Oryza sativa Japonica Group: one gene and its partner. The main gene of each other region encodes a partner of the protein of the gene in region 2 in a complex. Links are inferred from orthologs where the notes say so. Each region holds a gene or a part of one and is shown on either strand. Other genes may lie near its edges.

What was found. The genes of interacting proteins can lie anywhere in the genome.
Region 1: mediator of RNA polymerase II transcription subunit 25 (region 2) and probable mediator of RNA polymerase II transcription subunit 26b share a complex: the UniProt entries of both Arabidopsis thaliana proteins name them as parts of the mediator complex. The link is inferred for Oryza sativa Japonica Group from reciprocal best matches to the Arabidopsis thaliana genes PFT1 and AT5G05140.

The regions. Positions count from the first base shown.
Region 1 is NC_089039.1:20,346,254-20,353,195, forward strand, and holds probable mediator of RNA polymerase II transcription subunit 26b, read right to left. Parts: upstream 3,808-6,942; 5' UTR 2,983-3,807; coding exon 2,392-2,982; intron 2,292-2,391; coding exon 2,223-2,291; intron 2,134-2,222; coding exon 2,051-2,133; intron 1,800-2,050; coding exon 1,744-1,799; intron 1,649-1,743; coding exon 1,524-1,648; intron 1,419-1,523; coding exon 1,391-1,418; intron 1,310-1,390; coding exon 930-1,309; intron 846-929; coding exon 704-845; intron 600-703; coding exon 475-599; 3' UTR 74-474; downstream 1-73. UniProt on the Arabidopsis thaliana protein: Component of the Mediator complex, a coactivator involved in the regulated transcription of nearly all RNA polymerase II-dependent genes.
Region 2 is NC_089043.1:12,242,471-12,249,412, reverse strand, and holds the start of mediator of RNA polymerase II transcription subunit 25, read right to left. Parts: upstream 3,671-6,942; 5' UTR 3,475-3,670; coding exon 3,365-3,474; intron 1,957-3,364; coding exon 1,926-1,956; intron 1,825-1,925; coding exon 1,761-1,824; intron 1,641-1,760; coding exon 1,510-1,640; intron 1-1,509. UniProt on the Arabidopsis thaliana protein: Component of the Mediator complex, a coactivator involved in the regulated transcription of nearly all RNA polymerase II-dependent genes.

The DNA of each region.
Region 1 (6,942 bases), on a different chromosome or scaffold from region 2:
GGTGTTGCTGACCTTAGCTCAGTTCACCAGAAGCGTATTTGTTCCACAGTTGTTGCAAGGGAAAAGTCTAGTGTGAGCCATGAGTGTTTCACTGAATCATGTAAAATGTTGAGGGCAGATAGAATGTACGAGAATATTGACGATTATTCTATCTGGTATCTACAGCTTCCTTTGAAGAAAAAGAAAGAAAGTAACCAGCCGGTACAGGTCGAACTACATGCCCAATCTCCTAATAACCAGACATGACTAAACTCTTCCGGATGCAAGAGGTGTTACTTATTGGATTTGCATCCGGAGCAGCTCTTGCGTCTTCAAAGAGAAACCACCCATTGGAGGTGTTTATATGTTCAAAAAAGTTCTGTTCTAAGCCCTGGCAACTAAGTTCAGGTGTTTCGAGTCAGCATGCATATGCGCTCCGACCAGCCAGGCATGGTAATGATTCATCAGATGAGGGAAAAAAGAATCACGGGAGAATTATCGCCGACCATTTGCCCAACTTCTAATGTGATTCCTTGACTTCATCATAGGTTGTCTATTTTGATGCTTAGGCTTTGGTATGTCGCCCAGCTCCATTACTTGTATGGTGCGCTGCCTTTTTGCTGCGTCGAAGGAGCAGTAAGAAAATTAGGCGCAACCCTCAATATTTGAGCTGTACAAGTTAAAAAAGGAGGGTAATGAGTGTTGACAAAGAAGAAAGACGAACCATTTTCAGCTTCCTGGTAGCGCTCCTGGAGCCTCCTCTTTGCTGCTTCCAGCCTACTATTGCTTTCCAAACCATCATAGATCTTTGGCTTTGCCGACTCTAGCTTGACTCCTGCTGAAGGTTGTGCAGGAAGCCTCGATTTCTAGAACCAAAGTTCAGATATTTAAGTCATGATGTTCTGAGGATTATCATACTATTAGGCCTTAGTAATAGCATATATACTTACATCCACATGGCTCGCTGCAGGTTTTCTTTCAACAGCAACCTGCTCTCGAGCCAGTCTAGATTTCATCTCAACAAAGGGCTTCTGCTGAGGAGCTGCCCTTAATGGTCTCCCAGGTCCAGAATCAGAACTCAAGGGCTTAGATTGCTTGTGAAGCATGGCCTGCTGTTTGACTTGCAAACTTGAATTTTGAGGGGTTTGTGGGTTAGCCTGCCTCATTGATGGCTCTTGCCTTGCCAATTCCGGCCTCCTGGATTGAACTTTTTCAACAGCTCCCATGTTACGGGGAGGCTCTTGCTTTGTCAAAGCTGGATGGCTTGTAGGCCTCCTGCCATAATTTTCTCTCTTATTTCCAAGGCTCCCATCATTGTTATGTCTCAAGTCTGTCATAAAATGTATAACTTGAATTATTATAGTGCACAGAAAAAAAAGGGAAACTATGTAATTTGAGTTGTTGTACTTACTTCCATCTTCATCCATTTCATCAAAGAACTTTAGGTCAGGAAGATGAAGCAGAAAGAAAAACAACAATGCAAAGTTAGAATTGTGTTCTGGACCAAAACAATCCAGATACCAGGAACAAACAAAAATTAGTACCTCAGAGAGTTGAATAGCAGTAGTCTGGGTTGCAAAGAACGCCCCTTCATCCAGAGGTGGAGAAGGAAGCCCTTCATCATCAGCATCATCGACAACAGATGTTTTTGAAGAGCCCGGGGAGTTGTCTACAGATCAAAAGATCCATTACATGTTAAGAGGTGAACATTCACTTACAAATTGATGACTCATACGCGATATGAAACAAAATAACTTTTATTACCTGTAAGGGCAACATTAGTGGTGCTGACCCACTCATCAACCAAAATTTTCCAACCTCTGAAAAAAAAATGTTTTAAGACGTCAACAATGTTTCCAAAATTGGTTAATAACCACACTACAAATAAGGTAAATAATTCACTCAAGTAGTACAAAGACTGGAGAATACAGAAGCTAAATCAGTAGACTCGTATCATGTTTTCAGAAACTTATAGGTACAGTAGAGTATCAATTTGCTTCAGCAAGTTCTCTAAATTAAAAGCTAGATCAGCCCTAGAGAATGAAATTTAGTGCAAGCATATTGAACTTACTCAATGAGAGTGCGCACAAGGTGACGAATTTGCTGCGAGTTGTGCTTCCGCAGCCCATTAACAGCCCTCCCAATCTCAGTAGCCTACAACAAACAACATCGGAGATTAGCAAACCAAACAGAACCACTATGCGTCACTCCGCATAGCTCATATGCGCTATCCAACACAGTACCTTCAGCGTGGAAACGGACAATTGCATCAGCTGCAGCCTCCTCAGTGATTCGAACAAAGTAGCATCCGACTGCGAAAACCACAGTTGAGATCAAATGTTAAGTCCCTGTTGAGGAATGGCACAACTCTTACTCATGGAAGAACTGAAAGCTGGGAATAGTTCATCATACATGATCTTCCTTGTGCAAGAAGAGGTCCTTGATGCGGAGAACCTCGCCGACGACCTGTGACTCCTCGTCGATCTCGTTGGTGAGTGCCTCAAGCTCCACAGCCTCGGGGTCCAGCTCTTGTTCTTCGTCCTCTTCAGCCGGCGCCGCCTCCTGCTCCTCCTCTTCCTCCTCGTCGTCATCATCGTAGTTGTGACCGTAGTTGCTCGCCGCGGCGCGGCGGAGGCGCTCGTCGTCGGAGTCAGAGTCAGAGTCGTCATCGACGTCGTCGCGGCGGCCGCCGCCGCCGCCGAGGGCGCCGTTGCTGCTGCTGTCCACCTTGCTCTGCTTCTCGGGGACGCGGCGCACGCTGCCCTTGTCCTCCTCCACGGGGGTGGCCGGGGTCGGGGTGGCGGCGCTGCCGCACCCGTGGTGGCAGGGCGGGGCGCGCGGCGCGGTGAAGAGGATCTCGCAGATGCGGTCGCGGCGGCGCAGGAGCTCCTGCGGCGCGTCGGCGGCGGCGACGAGGATGGCGTTCTCGATCACGTCGCAGATTCCGGCGGAGCCGGCCGCCCCGCGGAGGAGCTCGCGCCACCGATCCAGCCGGTCGGCCATCGCCGCCGCGGCCACCCGAGATCGGGCTCCCCCCACCTCCACCTCCACCCCCACGACTCCGATGGCTCCCCTGGCACCACCAAGAATCGATGCCCTCTCTCGATCACCTCCTCCTCCTCCTCCTCACAATCTTGAAATTTCTTTTTCCCCTTATCAGATTACGTTGCACCAAAAGAATCTAATCCAACCCGATCGCGAATCAGATGCCCCCCACCGAGGGAATCCCCCAACCGGGAAAGCGAAATTCTCCCGAGACAGCGAAAAATCAATCTAACGAACACCGCTGCCTCTCCTCAACGCCAAGAACGAATCAATCAAGAAGAGAAAACCCCAAAAAAAAAAAACAAATCAATCCTCACACCACCCAAACCCAATCTCCCCTCCCTTCCTTTGCTTCACCCCCACGTCCACGTTACTTGACGATTTCAACCCAACAAACAAAACAGCTCCTAACCAAATCTTATCTGTGCCGTCGCCGCCGCAGGAGGAGGAAGACGACGACGACGAGGGGGAGAGGGAATGCGGGGAGGGGGGTTGGATAGGGACGCGGCGGATGGCGAGGCACACGCAACGCAAAAACGAGAGCCCACGAGAACTACGCAAGCTCGACTCTACCAAACAACAACAACTACTCCTCCTCCTAATTCCCCCGCACGCACACCACCACCACCACCATGGCCTCCTAGTGGTAACAACAAATCTCGCGTCTCCCTTTCCCAACTCCTTCCGTTCGTCTCGTTCTCTCTCTCGCGCAACGGAGGTCGCAGCTTTTCTCGGTCTAGGACTTTCCGGGGGGGCCCTTTTTTTTACCGGGTTTGGGGACACAGCCACACAGGGCGAGGTCACTACGGTTTTGGAGAGGGAGGCGGCCTCGTGGCTGTTTCTCGGCTTTGACCCTGTCGAGTTGTTGGTGGGATGCAGGTCCTCTCATGCAGTAGGCTCCCTGACATGTGAGCCCTATAGCCCCTCGGGCCCACATATTAGTGAGCAGTACGGCACATGCAGTACTGGAGAGGATCTCAACTGTTGTTGGTGGGAGTGGGACTAGTACTACTCTTTCCTGTAGTGTTTGGTTGGTAATAGTAGCATTCGTTTTTTGTTTATTGGGCTAATGATTCCCGTTTGATATCCACTTAATTCAAGTTTAGTTTTCAAACTTGGGTAGGTGAGCATCATCTACCATAATATCACTGTTATTATATAATAGGATCATCCTCTTATTTGTTTCATATATAAGTGTCTATAGTATGTGAACCAGTTGTATGCACGTACCCACCTCCATCCCAAAAGAAAAACTCAACTTACGAAGGATTGTCCATTTTTAGATGAATAGAGTACTCTCTCAATTCTATAAAAGACTAAATTAGTACGAAATATGATATATTTTAATACTATAAATCTGAATAGACGTTCAACACTATGTTATTTTTTTTATGGAACCAAGAAAATACGTGCATGCAACCGTAGCCGCCGTAGGCCACTCAAATTTTAAAAAGTAAACTTGGATTGTATCTATATAAATATATTTGTGGTATTAGAATGTGTCACGTTTCGGTAATAGGGTGGTTTTTTTATGGAATGGAGAATGTGCTTTAGGAGTACTATTAATTGTTGAGGCCCAATGGACTATTTTTGGCATCATTTTCGAAACATGGTGCGAGGAAATAGTATTGGATTAGTAAATGCCAATCGATGGTTTGATATAGTATAGCACAGTAGTACACCGTAGGATCAAAGAAATATTTATGCTCTGTATAGCTTCTTCTTTTTTGAATAGAAAAAGAATGGAGTACTTTTAGCATCCTTTTCAAAACAAGGTGCTAATGTAGTAGCGAAATCTTGGATTAGTAAATGGCGATCAAGATTGATTAGCAATATACGCTGTATCATCAAAGAAAATATTTAGGCGGCAAATACTCCTTTCTATTTATAAAAAACTGAGCTATCTATTAACAGTGAAATTTGATAATCGACAAAGGCGTCATCGGCTTAGAATCATTATCGGCTGTAGCATCTCGGAATCAGCCGATGAGAGTTATCAAGTCACCAATAGTCGAATTCCTGCTATATTCGGTTAAGGAAATCAATCTACTAAAGGAAGCTTATCTCTAAGTGACCGAGTTTAAAGAGGATGCGGCATGGCAGTTTATCTATTAATTAGGAATAGTTTGTTAGTTTCCTTTTTATCTTTAGAAAAGTGTGTTTAGTGTCCGATAAGGACTTTATATTTTCCTTTTATCTTTAGGTCTGTGTACACTATCATTAGTAGAGTAGAGTACTCTATGTTTATTAGTGTAAAATTCCTAACAAGTAATCAACCGTTTCATTTAATCAGGTGATAGTTATGTCTTATAGAAAATTGACTCAGTTATAGCGTGCCACATTTAGAAAAGTTTACTAACGCTTTTTTTCCTAAAGTACTTTCTTTTACTCCCACTAACGGTTGATATATATGGTCCACGGTTTGTTTTCTTTTTTGTTTTTTCACCCGGATTTATGCGGTTGTTTCCAAGAAAACCCAGACACTCGCATCTCGTTGGCTGCGCTGCTCAGCGGATGGATACCCGACTCGAGAGTGACACGTGTTCCTTGCTTTCTTCGATTTATTTTTATGTGTTTCTTGGTTTCGCTGTCCACGGAATATGTGTTTCTTTCTTTCCCTGGGCCGTTCAGGGCGTCACACATCTTCCACCCATTTGTTGCTGCCTTTGGGAATTTGGTTGAGGGGTTGAAACTTGTTGCCATGGCTGCCTGCTGGAAAGCTCAAGGGCCAACCATGTGTCAGTCAGTCAGTCTGTGTGATGATCAAATTGACCATATGGAGGGAGAAGATCATTAGGCTTTGTTTACATCTTGGGTGAATTTTTTTTTTACAGTATCACATCGGATATACGGACACATATTTGAAGTATTAAACCTAGTCTAATACTCCCTCTGTCCCATAATACAATGGATTTTGAGTTTTTGCTTGCAACGTTTGACCACTCGTCTTATTCAAAATTTTTTGAAATTATTATTTATTTTATTTGTGACTTACTTTATTATCTACGGTATTTTAAGCATAACTTTTTATTTTTTATACTTGCAAAAAAAATTTGAATAAGACGAGTGGTCAAACATTGTAAGCAAAAACTCAAAATCCTTTATATTGTGGGACGGAGGGAGTAACAAAACAAATTACAGAATCCATCTGTAAACCGCGAGATAAATTTATTAAGCCTAATTAATCCGTCATTAGTAAATGTTTACTGTAGCACGTATTTATCAAATCATGGAGTAATTGGGCTTAAAAGATTCGTCTCGCAATTTACACGTAATCTATGTAATTAGTTTTTTTTATATTTAATACTTCATACATGTGTCTAAACATTCGATGTGACAGGATAAAGAAACTTGACGGGGGATCTAAACAGACCCTTAGTATCACTTTTGTGAGGGACCTTAAAGTTTTTGCAATTATGAAAGATCTTGAATTGTTGATCTTGTTGTAATGGTATATAATCATCGTTGAAATGAACGCTTGAATTTATTTTAGGATGTAGAAAATATCATTGATTTCAATTACCTGCTTTTCGATACATCAACATATCTTAAAATAGGAGCTATACAAATAAATGGTTTTATAATAAATAAATGGGTGACCAGAGGGGGAAGTCTTACCAAATTCGGGTGTCAAGTTAATAAACTATGAAACATTAACTCATTTTATCGTTTTTTATCTAGCTAACCCTGTACGACCTGCTTGTTTAAGTTGAGGCTTGTAAGCCGCAATAATTTAATTAATCTATGATTTTTTTTCAGTTGTTTTTTTTAATCTTTTGGATCGCTACCGATAGAAGTGTGAAAGTATTACCCTATAATAATTTTAAAAATTACATTATGTGTCTTTGAAATATATACTTGGGCATGCCCAATAGCTCCCAAATATTTAATTTCCAAAAATTGTAAACTGGGAATATC
Region 2 (6,942 bases):
GGAAATAAAATCATAAAGGCAATAAATACTTTAATTCATAGAGAACTCAAGAAATAAAATGATATCAAATTCAAAGACCCAAGTATTTTTCAACTAGTTATAGGCTCATGCTGTCATGCATTGCAATGGTTTTTTTTATTAAGTTTAGTGGGAGGATTTGGGCCCAGTGAGCTGTTCGGTGTTTATACAATGGTTGGCTTTATTAGTAAACAGTTTTTTTTAGGGTGGACAGTTTTTATGGAGGAAAGAGGCTTTTATGTGGAGGTGGAGGAGGACGATTCCCTCTTTATAATAGTAGGGATGAAGACTGAAATTTTGATTTTTGAAGACTCAGTACCATAGGAAAATTAACATACTAATATAGGTACATTCATAGAATTTAAACTTCTGATCATACTAGTTTCACTCTGCTTATTCTGGGTACTGGCCCAGACATCCAGTTTCCTAATAGGGTTGATCTAATGAAAATCTTCCTTACAAAAATTAACCTAATGAAATGGTGATTACAGTTATACACTCTATTTACTAAGGTAAGGCTATCTGTAGCTGATATCCAGATCAAGACATTTTTTATGAGACAATAGCTGATAAGTGGATGTGCAAACCACCTTAGAATTTTCTCACATGAATCATATGTTGTGCAGAAGGGCATTAAAGGACAGATTCTAGAGAATACTGGAAATAACAATACCAAGACAACAAGCTATAATTCTTGGAAAATAAAGTAATCCAAAAGGTTGGGTAGAACATGTATTGTTAAGTATCATGGTTCTACATAATGTCCAGGCTCAACTAATAGTTTACAGGGCTTACTATGAGAAACAAAATTGTAGATCAACTAATTTAGACAAAACTGGACCCAAATTCAGGTGCAGTGAGAGATGAAAAGAGGTATTTCCCTTCATCTAGGAAATCAAAATATCTCTGTTAATAAGATACCAAACTCTGCCTTTGCTTCAGCATAGCTGGTCCTAACGCTGAGTAAAGGAAGAATGTTGCGATAACATTGGTAAGCCATCATAAAAATCCCAGTCGTTCCTGTGGAGATGAATTATGGTTTTGGATAGAGTTGCATGGAAATTGGCGGTCCACATGCCCAGAATCATGACCTAATTCACGTCTTCTTTAACTATATTGTTATTACTAGTACTATACTTCCCTTAGTTTTTTTGTGGCTGCACATCAGTTTCATCTCTAGCCTACCCCAACTTGCCTGGAACTAAAGGTTGCTACTGTTGATGTTAACATGAAAGATGTGCCATTTGGCAAAAAAGAAACATCATTTCATATGCCAAATGAAGCATGATTGCACAAGCCAAACAAAATGCTAAAACCTTGCACGGGAACTCAAAAGTAGGCAACCATATGCAGTACTGAAATTTTGGAAGTAGTAAGCCACAGTTTCTAATTTATGCATTTTGAACCAAAAAAAAAAAGTACAGGAAACACCAGAGGAAGTCATTATGTGCAAAAAGTGAAAAGAACTGAACGATGCCAATATGTCAATACCATCAATGCTTCAGCAAGACCTTCAGAAATAGCAGCTTCACTAAAGCCTCCACCACTAAATGATATTCCAGATAACCATGAAAGAAACACATTCATATCTTTTGTCCATCCACTCCGTTGCACACAAAAAGCTGCAAGGAATCAAAAGCGAATTATCATAGCTTACATGTTTTGTTGATATAGAACTAAATACAAATAATTGCAATGGATCATAATAAAAAGCTTAGGGCATGGAGGATATCAAACTTTACCGCTATAAGGACCATGGGTATGGAAGACGACTAATGCAAGTTCAGGGGGTGTCCCTGCGAGCTTCTGCATAACACGATAATAATTTACACTTTTGAGTTTTGACACAAGTCAAGGAAACATGGATCAAGTAGTAAGTCCGACGATAAATACTGAGAGCAAATTACCTGTCCTGCCATTTCATGTGCACAAAAACTCCTGCATAAATTGAAATGCTTCATGAATAGTAGTACTAAAAATGCAAAGGTTACTAAGTGCTACAGAAATTGACAAAAATTTCTAGCAAGAGATGAGCTTAAAAGTTTCATGATAGTAAGTATATGAGAGTGAAGCTGTGGTGGATCACCACATAACATCAAAGGCTCCATTTGGATTTTGCGTTGAGGTGGACTATGATAATCCTGTTCCGTACAGTAGCTTATAGAAATTTTGATGTTTGGCTAACTGCTGCTCTTTTAATCAAGTTGCAAATAGAGATATTATTTCAGTTCTAAAAACAGAACACTTGTCAGAGAAATAACAGTTTAAATTGACTAACAGAATTCGTCTAACATTAATTTGATTTCTCAAACAGACTACGAAGTTTTTCTTAACTGTTTCCACAGAAGCTAAATAATAAGCACAGGAGGATAGCAACTGCAAACAAACCCTAATAATTCAGAGCAAACTGATTATTGACCAACAATACAAACAGCTCCCACTTTCATTATTTTTTTTATTTGAAAGGCTTGAACACAAGAAATTTGACTCATGTGATGAATATTCCAATTACACCCATGCGAAACCAGAACATCAACTAATTAACAAGAGTGAAAACAAGGACTTCAGAAAAGCCATAACCATAACCAAACAGACATCCCATCATTACATTACTGGTTGTACAGAAGAGTAGTAAAATCACCAGCCAAAAACTGAAATTGGTTTTCATGGGAATCATTCATCATTCATGAAAAAAAAAACACTAAAATATGCTAGACTGAAGAAAAATACTTCTGAATGAGCAAGGAGGAACTAGAAAAGGCATAAAACCCAAAGTAGAAGATGAATTATGCTACATTCTGTCATAGATCTGCACATATGCAGTGATACAAAGTCTCCTCGAATCAGGAGCAAAAAAAGATGTATCTCGTGCCACAACACCATATAGCCAACAACCAACCAGTTCATCAAGAAACCACGAATTTCCACACATCGATGATGCGCTTGCATTCTTACTCTTTGAATAAGCATTGTGAAACAGAATTGAAGCTAACTAGTACCATTTAATGTTTGCAATTAAGAAGGTGAGAGCAAACAACAAATCTCCAAATCTCCTACTAATGCTTGGAGTGAACGATATATCCGACTAATATAACTAAAAAACTGTGTATATCAAACACATACACGGATAGCTGCTAACTTCCACTATCAAGAACTAACTAGCTACCGCTTCGCGTTCCATGTACTCCCTTCGTCTCAAAATAAACAGCTAAACAATCAACAAAGGGTCCAATTCTTCCACATCAAGAAATCCAAGATGCACTAATCCGCGACGGCCGTACAGTCAACTAGTAACAAGAAAGCAGGGTGGCGCGGCGGGGGGAGGAAAGCACGGGCGCAGCATTACCGCACGATCTTCTCGACGTAGTCCGCCACGGTGACGGGCCAGTACGGCCCCAGCGCCGCCGTCCCCTCCACGGCCACCACCAGCTGCCTCTCGGCCGCCGCCGCCGCCATCCCCCCGACGGCCGCCCCCGCCGCCGCCGCACCCGGCGCCACCCTGCCGACTCCCCGAATCACCGCCTCTCGAGCTCCCCTCCCTCCCGCGAAATCAATCTCCCCCGCACCAACGACTTCTCCCTCCCTCCCTTCCTTGCCGGAATTTCTCTTCTTCTTCTTCTTGTTAGGTTTCGTGAGGTTAGAGAGAGATGACGGCGAAGGGGTGGGGTACTGGGGTCTAATTTATATGGGCCCCAAGGCCCATAAGAAGAAAGGTGGGCTTTTGTGTGGATGACAGGTGGGGCCATAGGGGAATATGGGGAAATTTTGGTGTAAAAAAGAGTTGTATTGTTCTTTTATGGTGTTTAGTAAATGTAATAATAATGGTACTCTATAGTTGGGAAGAATTGTGAGCATTTATTACTTTCTTAGTATACATCAGGTTAGTTTTGAGTGTAGCCTTTCGGCTAAACTAAGGGTATTTTTAGGAGGTACTCCCTCCGTCCCATAATATAAGGGATTTTGAGTTTTTATTTGCACTGTTTGACCACTCGTCTTATTAAAAAAATTTGGAATTATTATTTATTTTTTGTGTGACTTACTTTATTATTCAAAGTATTTTAAGCACAACTTTTCGTTTTTTATATTTGCACAATTTTTTTAAATAAGATGAGTGGTCAAACAATGCAAATAAAAACTCAAAATCCCTTATATTATGGAATGGAGGGAGTAACTAAGAATCGGGTGCCCGATTTTCAAGAGAAAAATCGGGTGCCCCCCTCCTGCACCTCCTGCGTGTGCTGCTCTCTACATATTCGTTGCATGCATCATGCATGTCAACTACTTCATCCGTCTCAGAATATAGCAACCACGGAGGGAGTATTTCCTTGCCTCATCTCTGCGTGTGTTGCACCCTACATATTTGTTGCATGCAGCATGTATGTCAACTACTTCCTTGCCTCATATCAGCTACATGCAATATTCCATAATTCCCTATCTCTCATCTCTCCATACAAATCTTGCTTTTCTTAACACACTTTAAATGTTTTTTCTCTTAAATTATTAATCCAATCTATAATATGATTGCACCGTTGTATTTCTTGTAATTCAAATCTTTACAAACAAGATCTCACATATAAAAAAAATTAATGATGTTTCACCACTTATAAAAAATTGTTTCAATTCGCTAAAAAAATGTTCCAGATAAATGCAACATTCAAAATATAATGACTGCAATATCATCAACCTCTGCACGAAACATCAAGTCCCAACCAGTGAACTCATATAAAGACTCGTACGAAATAAACGATATACTTATATGGATATTGTTAAAACACATTTATATTTGTTGACGGTCGTTAGTGATCAGTTTCGTCCGTCAACACTACTTAAATAAAAGAGAACTAGTTATGCTTGCAATGCATATTTATGTCAAAATAATAAATATTCCACTGGCACTAGGATTACTAACCTCTTGCAGAGAATGAACACTAAGTGGAGAAGAATCGACATCAAAACAAGTGATCATTCAATCAGACAATGTCGAGAATCAGACCTATCAATGAATAGGTCAAGAATGCAAAAATGACATGACCAATTGGGCCAAAATTCACAAGTCTGAAGTGAGCAACAGAAGACGAGGCCGCTAGCCGAAAATGGGTCGGCCCCTGGTTCGGCCGAACCCATCCTGGCGCCGTTGGATGCAGGGTTGCGGCTAGACGGTATGGATTAGCTCCCAATGACGGTTGGAGGGTATTTCCGACCATTCCAACCGTCACAACCGTCATTGGGAGGCTATACAAGGAGCTCACTCTCTCCATTTCAAGACACACCACAAGCAAGAAATTCATTTCATCTATCAAGTTTAATATAGTTTCTAGAGTATAGTGGAATAGAAATAGAATAGAATCTTCAGTCCTCGGAGTCTTCGGAAGAATTTGGGTATGGCTCTAGTAGCTTTTCCTTCTTTTATAAGACTTGTACTTTATTTAGAATATTCTTCTTTATATTACTTTGGTATTGTATTACTTTCCGAGTATATGAATACCAGATTTATTACATACCCAAGTTATATTCATTATGATGCTAGCTTATCTGGGAGATGCAATAGTGTGGGTATTTACGATGACTCTATCATGACGATGATATTATAGTAGTATTTGGTAATTTAAGCGTGGTGTTTAGATTACTAGATATCATTATATGGGGTTATATGTTGCGGAAGCGAAGCGGGCCGCTGATGGTGACAGCTCAGTACGGGTATTCCTCCGCGCGTGTATATAATCCTAAGTTAATTTTCTGAGGAGGGTACTCCTCCGTATTTAGCCCCAGTTGGATGGTCATGATGGATTGTTGTAAGGAACTCGGTAATCAGGGGTGGCTTCTTGAAGTACAGGAGGGCATCTGTCACGCCCAGAAATTTAACCCAAATTCCCAGACTATTTTGCGTATTAAATCCCTGTCCAGGACCAGCCAGGGTACACAAAACGACAAGTAATATACAGTTCCAAACGTAAATAAAGCGTAAAATACTTACGGAAGAGGCACTTAGTCCTCACACCTAAACAGAACGACAGCAGCGGAAAAAGGCGATCCTAGCGGGGCTTCAGCTCCACTCCACAGGCAAAACTCAACTGGGGTCTGAGCCTTGGTCCTCTAACTCCATCTTCAGCTCAGAAGCACTACACTTCTGAAAAAGGGGGAATAATAGCAAGACTGAGTACAACCACCGTACTCAGCAAGCCACACCAACGATGCAGACGTGCAAGGGGATACAAGGAGGGGTTTGTGGCTATTTGCATAAAGGCAGTTGTAAAATATTTTATTAAGCAAAACAGTAAAACTGTTGAGTAATTAAAGTAACAATAAATCTCCACTGATCAACGCTACACCACGTTGAACAGGCCCAACCAACCCACCTGAACTACAGTGTATTGGGTCGATTTATTAAGATGGGACTAATCACGGTGAATCTGGTCGACCGCCCATAACCGCGGGCATGGCTATTCGAATAGTTTTACTCTGATCAGAGGTGTACAACTATACCCACAAGACAGCCCCACAACACGTTTCCGTGTGCCGACATGCCACCACGACATACCGGAAAGAGGCCATGACAGGACCCTTCGCATAACCCCCTCTAGCCAAGCACACCACACCTCAGGTTTCACCCCCGTCCCCAGCGGGCAACGGGCAGTCCCCTCTCGTGCCTAGGTGAATCCGGAAGCGACAGAAACCGTCGCAGGGCCCGCCCCGCTCCATCACGCCCACCCTTGCCTGGATGCGTCGGCTAGAGGAAAGCTACACTACAAGTCCAGCCGTTGCCCACGCTGGCTTGTGGTAAGTACGATAAGTTCTTCCAGGGCATCCCGCGAACCGGTCCTTAATTGCCATGGGTGCGACTAGCAAAACCATGCACCCACAGCCCATCATTCAGTCGCATTTTAGTTGGATAATTACGACCATGAAGCATGGCCAGATGTCTCG